Linked DNA regions of Arabidopsis thaliana. The protein of the gene in region 1 interacts with the protein of each later gene in a pairwise test. Each region holds a gene or a part of one and is shown in the gene's direction. Other genes may lie near its edges.

Region 1 (6,144 bases):
AGTATTATAGTTCTTCTTAAGGATAGACATTCTTAATGACAATCTGCTGCTGAAGCAGATATAACTCGTCTTTTCGTTTCCTAAATAAAGGTTATGGTTCTGGTATTATGATTTTAAAACATATACAAGATTAAAAAAAAAGAAAATATAAAGAAGGAGAGATTCTGATTTTGGTCGAGAATTCTGTGTAATGCCAACTTGATGCTGCCCAAGTTCCCAACCATGCATGTGCACTTATACCCATAGGATATATGCTGTTTCGACATTTTTATTTTAAAATATAATACTGTATAATACAGTACATGATAAACTTTTTATATTAATCGGAAAGCTGGAGTAACCGGAAATTTAATATTGTTTGACGATCATTTCCGTGAAATTGGAAATTCCAGTCAGTTATATCATCCGGTTATATGTCCCATTTTGTTTTTGTTTTATTTTTGTTGAATTTGTGATGGACTTTGGGTTAAAGAACTTGTATGTGGAAATGTAATTTCACAAATATTTGTTATCAAGAAGGCGATTTCCAAAGTTAATTTTGAAATCGTAGTCAAATAATCCATTCTTTTGAAGTTGCAAAACTTAAGCATCTAATTAAGGAAAAATCATGAAATAATAGTAATTTTGTTTGTGTACAATTAGCAAGCAAATTATAAAAACTAAAATCTCCCATAACGGAACGTTGTAGGGCTCTCCACAAAGAAACAAGCTTGGCTTTTGTCATGGTCACCAAGAGGGACCCAAGATTCACCCATCAGCCAAATTTGACTCCCACGTAAGCACCACTAACCTTTCCATATGCCTCGGAGTTATAAAGAAGACTCTGTGAGTTCACGCGCTCCGCTAATCCAAATTGGTCTTTGATCCACCGGCTCAATCATTTCAGCTCGGCTCAGATTGCATCTAAAAGTAAAATTCCGAAATAATATGCAGCTGCTATATGGAACTAGCTCGAAAATGATCCCGTAAATAAAACATTTGTGATAATTGAAGATAGTTGGTTTTTTCTTCTTCTTACAAAATCATGGAATTTTGAGCCAAACGATAAACGAATTATCAAAGTCTATATGAGGATGATATCTTTGTGATTAAAACATTCAAAACTGCAATTATACGCTTCAAAACTATGAACTCTTGATTTTGTAGTGAATTTCTCAACAGCTAAACCATCATGAGTTGGTTTGAAATACAACTGATCATCATTGAGTAATAAACAAGTAATTTATTAGTGTGCTTTTTAATTTAGGGCTGAATAATTCAGGTCCCATAAATTGCTTGCATATATTAAATGTGATTTTTGTCGCTTTCAGCTTACTGTTAGAGGCATAAGGAAGAAAAAACTAGACCACATGTTTACCCGTCTAGATACTAGAGACTTAACCCATACATTATCTTCGAATAGTCGCTTGCTGTTCTCCATGTGACAGTGTGATTTAATGTGTAACAAGTTGGTCCATTTCAGACGAAGTGGATAACTAACCCTAAAAGGTGAAATTAAGTGATATTTAATGCATAATATCTAAGGGAACTCATAAAGTATCTCGTTTGAACAATACTAGAAACTTGTGTATAATTTTGGTACCTTTTATCTGTGCGAGAAGTAGTACCTTAAGGGTCGTTTCAGTTTTTATGGAAAATAGGGGTAAAAAATACATAATATTACGGTACTCAACAACATTGGGGTGGTGGCGCAGTTGGCTAGCGCGTAGGTCTCATAGCTAGTGAGTGATCCTGAGGTCGAGAGTTCGAGCCTCTCTCACCCCAATATTTCTTTTTGCATTGTTTTTATTTACTTGGGCTTCTTTGGGCCTCCTTCTGTTATCCAAAAGGCCTAACTTGGTTTTGAGCTATGTTCACCCTCTTTTTATTATTATCGTCATGTTCTCCCTCTTCTGTTATCCAAAAGGCCTAATTTAGTAATTTCCATGTCCCATCACTATTACAAGTCACAACACTAATGTATTATACTTGCTCCGTATATCATAAGATCTTATATAATTCCATCTTTTATCAACACAATCACTTTTATTATATATTTAATATATGTACGTAGAAACATTAACGTGAAAAGTGAAGTGGCTTTACCAGATTATAATTGATTTTTTTGGTGCTTCGTCAACACCACGAGGTCCATAGAACATGTTTTAAGATACTATATTAATAAAAAAAATTGGTAAATCATTAAATGTCAAGAAAGGTTCATGGAATAAATAGTGTTTATCCGAATTAAGTTATAAAACAAGAGGATCTACTTTGTAATCTGATCCCATCACTCATTCCCACGATCATGAACCGTACAAACTTCTAGATTTTCTTCTCAATAACTTCGTTTTCCCATAAATTTTGGTCGTTCTTTTTGACTACACTCTCACGTGCACACGAAATTGAAAGCATACGGCGCACCATTCTTCAAGAAACAAAACTGAAACTATTAATATACAGAAAATCAAAAGTCACGTAAATTAAGAAAATACTATGAGATAGTAAAAAAATGAATGCGCACGAGTGTGTTTTATTATTATTTGGTACGCGTTAGAAGCGAGTCCCGAGTCCACCGGCCAACGGTCACCGTCAGATGATACCTAACAAGTGGGCTCCGTAGCATGTTGAGTGTTTGTTTAAATCCCAACCGTCCATCGCTATCAACGCTTTTAATTTGCGTTTCTTTTGTTGACCCTATTTCGCGTCTGAATCGGGAAATTGTGAAACCAAAATTGAGTTGTTATTAGTGTCACGGCCTGTGACTTCTCTCACTTACATCACCCATCATATAATCTTCGTTAACTAACTGTACATAGAATCTAGGGACATTTTTGTTTGCTAAATAACAAAAATCTATGGATCTTCCGGTTAGATTTGTTTTAAAAAAATTTGGAAAAAAGAAAAGCAAACAGCTGTAAATTTCTTTTAAATGAAAACTAAAAATAAGTAAATATGAAACTGTATAAGTTAAGAAATAAAAATAAAACTAAAAAGTAAGTAAATCCAAAATTATATAGATACTAAATTAAATTCCAAATCTATTGATATTTTTCATACATTTAGTATAAAATAATATAGATTTTTATCAATTAAGATTTTCTTTACAAAAATATCATTATATGACAAATATCAGTTGTTTAGATTTTTTTCCTCAGATATTTTCAGTATAAAGATAACAATCATTTTCTTAAGTTTGACAAAAAAATAAAACAATCATTTTCTAAATTATGTTCTTTAATTGATCAAAAGCAAAAAACCAATCACTTTTAATAACGTAAAAAGAAAAGAGAAACAGTAATTTGACTAATTTTTTTATATAAGTGGTCCTTTACACGTCATAACTGCGTCTTCTACGAAAAGCCCTGTCAACATAGCGAAACCTTAATGACCTTTCTTTGGTTATACCGACGTTGAAGCCCACGTGGCAATACTTCACACGTGCACATGCGTGTGTATATATATAACCCACACATACATAAACCTCTTTGAGAGCAAATCAAAGTGTAAAAAGAAGAAGAAAAAAAAGAGAACGAAGAAGATAGAAAAATGGAATGCAGAAAACACAACCACCAAGGCAACAGAGGAGTTTGTCCTTGTTGTTTAAGAGATAAACTCTCTCGATTACCTAATACTACGTCGTATTACATCGTTCACAGATCTTCTTCTTCTTCATCCACCACCGTTTCGTCTTCTCCGTCGTCTCCGGCGGTGAAGGATCATCGGAGAGCTGGTTCGATGTCGATGTCTTTCGCTGTTAGGGAAGCTTTAAATGGTAATCTGATCGAAGCTTTAGGTGGAGGATTAATGAAAAGCAGATCTATGGCTCATGTTCCCAAGGATTATATTGTTAGGGATTTGACGAAGAAGAAGACGGAGAAATTGAAATCTACGACGGTTAAGAAGAAGACTGGGTTTTGGACTAAGTTGCTTCATCTTAAAGGGAAAGGCGGTGGCGCCGACGTCGGCGGGTTTGTTACTTCACGGCAACGAGTTTATTAAATGACCGACTTTAGTCTTTTTTTCCTGAAACTTTTATTTTTGACGTGTACAGTTACAGATTAAGAAAGTAAAATGGTGAAAATAATGAAAGTGATTTCTCATTAATGAAAATGGAGATTAATATTGGCTAGAAAGGCAAAAAACACTACAAATTATTTTTGTTAAAGAACTTGTTACAAGTTGTGATTGACAAAAAAAAGAACTTGTTACAAGTTGTGATTGACAAAAAAAAGAACTTGTTACAAGTTGAATATTGAACAAAGAAGCAAAAAAGCTATGAAGTTTCCTGGGATTGACCAACCAATCAGTATTTTTGATCATATCTTAAAAGTATATTTTTCATGGCTTAACTTACGTGTTATATGAGTGACTTGTCATATAAGACATCTATAATATATTATTTTTTGTTAATATTGGCTAGAAAGGCAAAAAAAAACTACCAATTAGTGCTATTATTTCTTGTTAAAGAACTTGTTACTAGTCGAATATTGACCAAAGAAGCAAAAAAGCTATGAAGTTTCCTGGGATTGACAAACCCAATCAGTATTTTTGATCATATCTTAAAGTATATTTTTCATGACTTAACTTACGTGTTATTTTGTCCAAAAAAAAAAAAAAACTTACGTGTTATATAAGTGGCTTGTCATATAAGACATCTATAATATATTAATATCTGTATTAACATGGAATCCATCACGGATTTTAAAATGAACCGAGTACTTTATGTATATCGTATTATATAATCCAAAAGTATATAACATGTCATTAACAGGTAACATATAAAAACCTACAACACAAAAAATGGACCCTTCCAACTCCCAAATTAGATGTTTTTTGTAAAATTGTTGTTATATACTATGGTGAACAAATCTGGTGTTAAAATGGAGTTCTTTTAAATTTTCATCATTAATGAACACCATCTTCATAATCAAACTTCATCATCATCATCGAGGTAGGGGCTGTGTTCTACAGACCGGTTTTTAAGTCTCTGGAATATCTCATCTAGCGACTGTGGCACTGATGAAGTCACTACTCTTGTGCTTGTTAGTGCTGTTGTTTCTGGGCTTTGTCTTAATGGAAGAAACTTCTTGGTAGCTACATTCTCTTTAAAACTCTGGATTCCTAGTTTCATGTTTCGCCATGTGGAAGCCAGACGAGAAGATGGCTCTCCAGATCCTTGACCGTTACTTGGACCTGAATTGTCTGTTTCGAGTAAGGACACTTTAGCTGAAGCCATGTTCTCTGGCTTTGTCATAGAAGATGGCGAGTGTTTGTTCTGTTGTTCTCTAATGGCTGCATATTTGTTAGTGATTGCTTCTCTAGCTGATCCGTATTTACGGGACATATCGTCTTTTGATGAACTTCCTTTTAGTGTGTCTATGTCATAGCTCGACGACATCTTCATTTCAACAGAAGAATTTTCCTGCAAATATCATAGTCAGAATTTGGAACAAGTACTATGAGCTCCGCTTTTATATGTTATGGGTTTTACTACTTACAGAGAAATTGCTTCCTGGTTCAATGTCAACATCGTTGAAGTTCCTCGCTAATGGAAGAACATGCTCGCCGACTTTTTGTCCTTCTTCGAGCCAGGTTCGTTCTAACCATTATTATAAATGGAAAATGAATTCAAAACAAGGGTTATGGATCAAATCTCAATGCAGAAAAAGATCAATATAGTGTTTTTACCTTTTTTAAGAATCATTAACCCCGAAGGATCAAATCCGTCCGTATCTTCGGTCTCTGTTTGAAATCTAAATCTTTTCCAGCTACCAAAGTAATTAAATATGCGATCGAAGAAATTGCTTGCAACTAGCAATGTGTAGATAACCATTATGAGAGGATAGATCTCATTGAACCGTTGTCCAAAGACCGGGACAGCATCATCGATTCTACCCATTTTCTGTAGAACCAAATGAAAAAAACATTGCAAAGAAGCACATATATATCATGTCTCTTAAGATTTCGAAGACAACAAAATGCGCAAAGGGAGAGATAAAAAGAAATACCTTCTCAAATATAGTCTCAGAATGAAGTTGAATGAGATTAATAAAATTGTAAGATATTGGTGGCGCATATCGAGCAATCATCCTAAAGAGATACATATAAACCAGCTATAAGCATGTAAATTTTTTATTTAAGAAAAATGATGGATAGATATTC
Region 2 (9,212 bases), on another chromosome or scaffold:
TCTTGATGCAACTGATACACTTTCAAGAACTGAGTCATTCTTCTTTAACTGTAGTGCTGTTAGTGGTGCGAGTGGTTTGGATGGTTCAGGGATACTAGTAGAGCCATTTGGAACTTTATCGACTGATCGACAAACTCAGGATCTAATGATGGGGAGATTCTTGCCTGCAGCTAAAGCTTTGACTTCAGAATCACCTCCACATCTTGCTAGGAAACCACCTAAACCAGAAGAACCGGTGAAGCAGTTGATGAAGAAGAAACAGAACAAAGTGGAGCAAAATCCGTATCGGTTTCGTCATTCGCCTGATCAAGAAGAGGAAGATGGAAATATAAGCAGCATGATGGCGTCTGGTGTTTGTGGATTACTCCCTCAACTCTGCTTGAGAAGCTCTTTGGGACTATTGAATCCGGTTCCATCTGTGAGAATGCAGCAACAAAGAGCTGTTTCTGTTCGTCGTATGCGGTCTAAGTACCAAGATTCTGCACCTTCTAATGAAACTCATAACAAGGTAATTGATTCCCTCTCCTTCTCGCCACCTCGTTCATCATTACACTGAGACCTTTTCTCTCATCAAATTTCTTTTATATTTTTCTCTCTATAGCAAAATGAAGATAAGAGGAAGTTGAAGCTAATTGAATCAGTTGCAAAAGGGTCTTCTCAAGGTGAGTCATTATCAGTATCTTCTATACCACAAGGAAAAGAGAAACTCGAGAACGTTGGCACCGCTTCACGCAGTAAAATCAGTAAAAACTTTGGTGAGCTCTTGGCTAGTGATGAGAATACATGGGAACCTTCATCCGAGACTCCTGTGGCAGAGAAAACTCTGTATGTAGACATTGTGCATCTAGTAGATAAGAAGGTACAAGAAGAGTCCAAGAAGCAGCCTATATTGAAAGAGTCTCCTTCACTAGACATTGTTCCTGTAAAAGATGAAGAAGCTGATATCTCGCAGCCTAAAAGCATTGAGCAAGAGAATGGTAACAGAGATGAGGATTTCACTAAATTCTCAAGTCAGAAAGTTGAAGAATGTCCTGATCATCAAGCTATTGTTGCACTGCCAGAATCCGATGTGGTAGAGATTACAAAGGAGAAGAAGATTGATCTTGAAGTTCAGTTGCAAGTAATCACAACAAATATTGAAAGTTCAAGGCTTCATCATCGTTCAAGTTATCTCATTGTTCCTCCACCACCATTACCAAAAGCTCCTTCAGATTCTTGGTTAAAGCGTACATTACCAACAATACCACCAAAAAACAACTCATTCGCATGGTTACAGTCTCTTGGCACTGATGATGATAATCACTTTACCAAGACTCAAGCTAATCCAAAGTGGGAAACTATGGTCAAAACGTCCAATACACAGCAAGGGTTTGTGTGCTTCTCCAAGGTAAAAAAAAAAAAAAGAAACGTCCAATACTTTCACAAATGTGTCTTAATTTTCAAAGTCAATGCTTGGCAAAATGTGTTAATACTTGTTGATCCTGTTTTGTTCTTTCAGGAAACACTAAACCCTATACCAGAGTCATAGCAAGACCAAAACAAAATTCTCACTGGTGGTAATGAAGAAACTGTAAAATTTTTCACACCAAATTACATGTAAATTTTCAACAATAAAGAAGGGATGAGCCAATAAAGTTTGGGTATTTTGTCTTTAACTATTTGTGTAAATCTGAATCAAAAAGATTCCATGATAAAGAGAAAGCAATGGAGATAAATGTCTTAAATATTGTCTGGCACTTAAGGAGAGGTTTCTTGTTGAAGTGATGTACAGCTCATGTTAACGGAGATTTCATGGCAATAATTCCATGTGACACTGCTTCTTTATTCTCTACTAATAGACTTTTTTTTTTCGTTCTTTTGTAATTATGGTTTCAAAATATAGAGCTCACTAGAAAGGAAACTTGAAAGCTGCAGAATTGAATTGAATTGAATACCTTGACTAAATTAGTCACTAGAGGAATTATTGAAACAATATTGGTGTGAAAATGTTCACATTTCATCTCTTATTCTCTTTATATATATAGTGGCATGGAAGATCACATGCAAATATATGAGTGAAGAGAAATTTAAAAAACAATATAGAGAGAGAGTGAGAGGTTTCTTTATCAGTTAGTTTGACATGAAAGAAGCTGCTGCTTTTGGGGGTGTTTTGTTCTTGATTTTCATGTTTCTTCTGTCGTTGTTACTTGTAACCATGGCCGTATTTGCTTGCTCCAAAAAGAAGGAAAAGAAGAAGGATTCAAGTTGCTGTTGCTGCTGTAAAGGTGGCGTTTTTGGCGGTTGCAGTGGTGATGGTGGTGGAGGAGGAGGGGGTTGCTAGATAAGTAGATATATCACTTGGGTACTGTTTCCGTACGTATTTGAATTTATGACCAATTTGCTTAGAACATCTAGGCATTACCTAAAGAACAACATGTGCCTAATCTTATTATCGTTATGCTAAAGTAAAATCAAATATCTATTTGATATTAGTATGATCGGATCCGATTCTTGCATCATCCTACTATCAGTTTCATTCTACTTTAATAGTTCCATCGTTTGTATTTTTTCTGCACAAACTAATCATCTTAATGAATAATTTTATCACCATATCATGTTAAAAGAAAATTTCGACGTAAATATATCATGTCATGATGTATACAAGAGAAAAATATATCTCAATCATAGTTTTTGTATGTATATATTTTAACATTGTTTTGATGTTATTTGTCCATAGTGTTGGTCGTTGGAATCCAAATAGCGAGTTATTATTAAACAAAATGTTCCAAGAAATTGATTATGATCGTCATTCGTCCATGTGCTAAGTCCACTCCCCTTATTCTAAGACTTTTATCCATCCTTTAAATTGGACCAAATATTAAAAGTCAAATATGTAGCCATCTGGCTCCAGAGAACACCAATTTTTTTTCTAAAATGACAAAAACTTAGAAGATTCAAGATTCAGAAAACACATACGTAACGTAAGCCAATATTTTTCCATTCAAAGAGTTTACCGATAGCGAATAAAAACTGTTAAAAAAACTAGAATGAATACTGTAAACAATTTATATTAGTAGATAGATTAAAGAGTTTTTAAAATTGTGGTAAAACTCCAAAACAACTATTAATCTGAAAGAGAGTAGTTGTTGTTAGTTTACCCAAATTATCTGATTGTGTGAATGTAGTAATCTCCACAATAAATTGCATTATGGTATTATTACGGAGTTATCAGACTTTTCACTTCACCAATCACTGTGCTTATTAAATAATGACTACTTAATAAACAGATTAGTGTTTCATTGGAGCGTAAGAATCACGCGCTAAACTTACGCGTGGGTTTCCTCTTTATCTTTAAAAATTTTCTCAAGTTTAGACAGAACACCAGGTAATAGAGAGAGAACAAAATAGTCTTTACTCTTTCAGTGAGAGAGAGAAGTTAGAGCTGTAAAAGCACATGACTTCGATACCATTGGGGCCTCCTCAGCCTCCGTCTTTAGCTCCTCAGCCGCCGCATCTTCACGGCGGAGATTCTTTGAAACGTCGTCCCGATATAGACAACGACAAGGTTAGTTTTTTCTTCTCTTATAACTTGAAACGTTTGTGTGTATCTCTCTCTCTCTCTCTCTCTCTCTCTCTCTCTCTCTCTCTCTCTCTCTCTCTCTGATTGATTCTTTCGTGAACAATGTATTTCAATTTTCGTTTTGTGGGTTTTCTAGATCTAGCTCGGATTTTGCTTGTTTCGATGTGTTAGTCAATCGATCTGTGTTCCTTTTTAGTCAGCGTTCTTGATTTGAGCTCATTGAAGATTGTGCATTTTGACTTCATAGTAGCTAGTTTTACTTTTCTTCAGCTGAAATTTTCAACCTTTTTTGTAGTGAAGATTGATCTCTTGAGCTGTTTTTGATTAGTAGCAGTAAACCTTCGAACCCTAAAGAAGAAATTAGGGTAAATAACAGAAATTTTCTAGTAATAACCCTTTGAACCCTAAAGAAGTAACCTCATAGTTTGGGTGTTAAATTTAACACTTTTGACTTCACAAAGTACTTGTGTATCTTCGAGTTTTTTTTCTTCTTTTTCCTGACAGTTTTTGGAGTATTCGTTTAGATTATATGATTCTTGGCCCATTCTGTATTGATTCTGAACTCTTTTCTTTTGTTTTATGTTCTTTTGCTTTGTTTCTCCACCTGACAGTGTCTGTTCCATGTTGTGTCTGATTGTATCTTTTGATTTTGTACAAGTTTCTTATGTCCACAAAATGGTTGACATCTTAATCTTTCTCTACTCTTGAAGTTACAGTTATCATTTTTTAGCTTTCCTTTACCTGTAACAACTAGTATAGTAGTATGCATTTGTTTTCTGAATTTTGTTAGCCTCTGGTCAACAGGAACTTGCGACATCATTTAGATTTACATTTAGTTATCTTACATGATTGAATTCTCTGTAAATTGGGCATTGACTGTTCTTAGATTTGAATGCTATTTTAAAGGAAAGTTTATATTCTGGAAGATTTCATACACTTGATAGAACTGATTGAAAAACGATTCGAATATTTTGAATTATTTGTCTATTCAATCAATATACATCGGAGGAAACACTAATTGTTACTACTTTCCTTCATTCTTTGTAGACAAGAATAGTTTTAACTCCTGTAATAATATGTTCACGTTTGATTTTAGGAAATGTCTGCTGCTGTTATAGAAGGAAATGATGCTGTTACCGGTCACATAATTTCTACTACAATTGGAGGCAAAAATGGTGAACCTAAACAGGTTGGATTCTGTTGTTTATTAAATCTTTGTAATGATTTAAATCATAGTTATTGCTCGAGCACACTACCATGTATAAGGTTACCTAAGGTTTGGATTAATCTATAGAAATTCAACAAATAAATAAATAGGTTTTTACATCTTTTGACTTTGTGGCTCCTTTTTTCCAACTCTAAGTTCTACTCTCTAATGTTTTCATCCCTCTGGCCTTTACAGACCATTAGTTACATGGCCGAACGTGTTGTTGGAACAGGATCATTCGGAATTGTATTCCAGGTATCATTGTGCTTGTCACTGTCTACAGGCAAATGGCTTTTTGTCTTTCCTTTCTGATCAGATTGTTAACTTACCATTCTAGGCAAAATGCTTGGAAACTGGAGAATCAGTAGCCATTAAGAAGGTTTTGCAAGATCGCCGTTATAAAAACCGAGAGTTGCAATTAATGCGACTAATGGACCATCCAAATGTGGTTTCCTTGAAGCATTGTTTCTTCTCTACAACGACTAGAGATGAGCTCTTCCTCAATCTCGTTATGGAGTATGTACCAGAGACATTGTACCGGGTTTTGAAGCACTATACTAGTTCAAACCAGCGGATGCCTATCTTCTATGTCAAACTTTACACATACCAAGTATGCATTGTTATCTACTCTTTCCCCAATAAATACTCTTTACTCTGTTGTGTTTATCCTAAAACTGTTTATAAAATATGTTGTGCAGATCTTCAGAGGCTTGGCTTATATCCATACTGCTCCTGGTGTCTGCCACAGAGATGTGAAACCACAAAATCTTTTGGTACGTTGATCTATTGTGGGTTTTGTCTTTGGTAACCTTGACTAGATTGTAATCTTATTCTCTGTATGTTCTGTAGGTTGATCCCCTCACCCATCAGTGTAAGCTCTGTGATTTTGGAAGTGCAAAAGTACTGGTAAGAGGTTTAGACTTTTATTTACCCCATTTGTTGTTTGTCTTTTCCACTGTGCTTGTGTCTTTGCATGCAGTAGTTAAAAACTCCAATTAAGTGAATATTATGCAAGTAATTTACATAAGTATGGATGCAGTTTCAGATATTTCTCTGTTAGCCTGATATTTGCAACATTTGGCTTTTTATATTAGGTGAAAGGTGAAGCAAACATATCATATATCTGCTCTCGGTATTACCGAGCTCCAGAACTCATCTTTGGTGCCACAGAGTATACATCATCCATTGATATATGGTCTGCTGGTTGTGTTCTGGCAGAGCTACTTCTTGGGCAGGTTAGTGTAAATTTCTAACCTGTTGAGTATCTTGAGAACTAAAGCATCTCTCCAAAATCTTCTGTAAACAATGTGGTATTATTTATCTTCACAGCCGTTATTCCCGGGAGAAAATTCTGTGGACCAGCTAGTGGAGATCATAAAGGTGAACTCTTCTTTTATTATATTTTGTTTTGGCGTCATTTCCTGTCTGTGCTCATGATGTGCTGTGTTGGTTTAGGTTCTTGGTACTCCAACTCGCGAAGAAATCCGGTGCATGAACCCAAACTACACAGACTTCAGATTCCCACAAATCAAAGCCCACCCTTGGCATAAGGTAATATATATATATGCATGTCACTTTCGAACTTCTTTCTAATCATACAATTGCTTACTTCTCTACCTAAACAACATTCATGGAAAAGAAGCTAACACGGTGCACAACTGCTCTATGACCTCCAGGTTTTCCACAAGCGGATGCCTCCGGAAGCCATTGACCTTGCATCTCGGCTTCTTCAATACTCACCAAGTCTACGTTGCACTGCGGTTGGTATTTCTAAACCAAGTACTCTTAATTGTTACAGTGGTTCTCTCTGGCTTCTTTGGACCATACACTGTTCAATGAAGGAGTGAAATGTTGTTTTTCAACTGACTTGTTTGTTTGCCGTCTGAAGCTCGAGGCATGTGCGCATCCGTTTTTCAATGAACTCCGTGAGCCAAATGCTCGTCTTCCAAATGGCCGACCTCTACCACCGTTGTTCAACTTCAAACAAGAGGTATGTTAAACCATTCCAAAATCACTTTTCCTTCAACCAAACATAACTGAATGTGCATACAGTTACTCAATCTGTTAGCTCTCTCTTTGACTATTGAAACAGTTGTCTGGGGCTTCACCGGAGCTTATCAACAGGCTAATACCAGAGCATGTGAGGCGACAGATGAATGGTGGCTTTCCATTTCAAGCTGGACCCTAGAAAAGCGATCTCGAGATGCTTTTCCAGAGCAAAATGCCGCCTTATGGAATGAAGGAGAGGGAGATTTACTTCTCTCTGATTAACTAAGTATCAGCTTCTGAGAAGAGATGATGTCTCCTCCTTAGACGTGGCCAATTCAGCTTTTTGAGAAATCAGGAGGCGATGATTGTGTCCTATTATATTCTTTTTGTTCACTGACTTGTAGAGAGATACTTTTCTCCTGTATCAGTATTTGTATATGTTTTTGTCCTTGAAATGAAACAAAATCGATTCCAAACTGCAAGTCAAATAACCGAAATGATGAAATGAAATCATGATAATCTAAAGTTGCCTACGGTAAAAGTAAAAACTAAAAACATTTGAAATCAATGAGCTTGAGGATAAAATTTTGCCAGCATTGGCATTGTAACGTTGAAAGGAAACAAGCACAAAAAGAGCAATTGAGAAGAAAGAAAACAATCCGAATTTTGTATATCCAAAAATCCATCGTTTAGGCTTTGCTTTTATTGCCCAGCTAACGAAAAAATGCGCTAATAAATTACTGTTTATGGGTAAACTTTCAGTTCCCACAAAACCAATTGCAGAAGTACAAATCTAGCCTCCTGTCTTATTGACTCTTCAAACAAAATTTGTATGTTTGGCTGAAACATGTAAGTAAATGATTTAAGATGACTTGGTGACTTCATGTATAGCATTCGCAAGGTATCCCACGTTTCCTGTTGTAACACCAGCCATACTGCAACCAAACATCAAGAGCCTCAATGATTAGGAAATGGCTTGCATTGAAATTAAGCATGTTGATGTTAGGAAATGGATTGCATTGAATGTGAGCTGAAAGATTTCTAATCAGGAGAAAGTGAAGTACCTGATACGGCCGTTACGGGTCATATAGATGTGATATTCGCTTGTTAAGCGGTCAACCTGTTCTGGTGTTAACCCACTGTAGCAGAACATTCCAATCTGTTATCACCATAAAGATATGACTGTGTGAGTCAAAGGAGAGAAATAACAAGAATTTCACAAAAGAAGCCTATTTTGTTGTTGTAGTTACCTGTTTGGTAACGTGCTCCCATGACAAAGGCGATCCTAACTTCTCAAGGCTTTCTCGCAAAGTAGTTCTCATGCCGATGATCCTATCAGCCATGACCTGTTACAGATTTTACATATGGCTTATCAGATTTTAATTCCATAGTTGATTACTAAACATAAAAGAGTGAACATGGGATATAAGGTAATTGAATGAAAGAATTAGCATTTTTTCATAAATGTTACCTTAACTTCTTTTAGCCACAGACTCTTTAACTCTGGGTCTTCAAGAATGGTTGAGACCAGCTGAGCACCATGCAAAGGTGGGTTGCTGTACATTGGTCTAGCTAGCTGCTGCAATTGACTTTTCACAGCCACGGCTTGCTTCGGATCTTCACAAAGCACACTGCAGTAGAAGACAAAGTTGTCATGTTCATATTCAGTTTTTACTTCATCACTAAATGAACCTGTATGATGGCTATTTCATACAATTTGTTGACGCCTACAATCCAAATTTTTAAAATGCTGATATCTGTACTTTCTAATTTCCATATTTTCCTTCGTGTAGGAAGAAAACGATGTTCTTTGTTGAGAAAAATGAATACCTGAGACATCCCACCCTCTGGCCGTAGAGTCCCATGTTTTTTGCATAGGACTGAGAAATTCCAATATGATGACCATCTTCAAGAAAGATCCTGATGGACTTGGCATCTCTCGCTGGATCTCCACTAGCAAAACCTTGGTAAGCCATATCGAAGAATGCGAAATGCTTTTTAGCCTGAAATGAGAACTCGATGTTAGTCTGCAGAGGGCTGATCAAGGAGAAATAAAGTCAATGATAGACAGATAACTATAAGAAACTGATGAGTTATCACCTTGAATAGCTGTGATATCTCTCTCCATTGTTCCTCTGTAGGGTCTACTCCAGTAGGATTATGAGCACAAGCATGAAGAAGGAAGAATGACCCTTCCGGAGCATTCTATGGAAAAAGGCTTAACAGAATTAGGATGTTAACAAGAAGAAGTAAAAAAGATGCTAGTTGAAGAAGATGTTCTTTGCTAACCTTCACATCATCCATCAATGCTGAGAAATCCAAGCCCTTGGTTTCTGGATGATAGTAATGATATGTCTTTTGAGGGACTTGTGCATCTTTCCAGATGTTGTGGTGGCTATTCATAAGAGAAAACATAAACCATGTTATTTTTGGGAAGCAAAAGAAGCTTGGCCACAC

Evidence for each region.
Region 2: the proteins of AT5G65300 (region 1) and SKdZeta interact in a two-hybrid assay, tested with the Arabidopsis thaliana proteins (one large-scale study listed by BioGRID).

The regions. Positions count from the first base shown.
Region 1 is NC_003076.8:26,093,103-26,099,246, reverse strand, and holds AT5G65300 (uncharacterized protein), read left to right. Parts: upstream 1-3,132; 5' UTR 3,133-3,528; coding exon 3,529-3,981; 3' UTR 3,982-4,104; downstream 4,105-6,144. Other genes in the region: AT5G65290 (LMBR1-like membrane protein), read right to left, coding at 4,910-5,404, 5,481-5,581, 5,671-5,884, 5,991-6,072.
Region 2 is NC_003071.7:13,180,092-13,189,303, reverse strand, and holds SKdZeta (SHAGGY-related protein kinase dZeta), read left to right. Parts: upstream 1-3,330; 5' UTR 3,331-3,433; coding exon 3,434-3,544; intron 3,545-4,655; coding exon 4,656-4,748; intron 4,749-4,961; coding exon 4,962-5,021; intron 5,022-5,103; coding exon 5,104-5,376; intron 5,377-5,464; coding exon 5,465-5,539; intron 5,540-5,615; coding exon 5,616-5,672; intron 5,673-5,860; coding exon 5,861-6,001; intron 6,002-6,095; coding exon 6,096-6,146; intron 6,147-6,221; coding exon 6,222-6,317; intron 6,318-6,442; coding exon 6,443-6,526; intron 6,527-6,654; coding exon 6,655-6,756; intron 6,757-6,858; coding exon 6,859-6,954; 3' UTR 6,955-7,279; downstream 7,280-9,212. Other genes in the region: AT2G30990 (arginine N-methyltransferase, putative (DUF688)), read left to right, coding at 1-508, 602-1,387, 1,499-1,528; AT2G30985 (uncharacterized protein), read right to left, coding at 2,240-2,398; ASP1 (aspartate aminotransferase 1), read right to left, coding at 7,618-7,690, 7,820-7,914, 8,006-8,101, 8,227-8,386, 8,586-8,758, 8,856-8,960, 9,045-9,150. UniProt on the Arabidopsis thaliana protein: May mediate extracellular signals to regulate transcription in differentiating cells.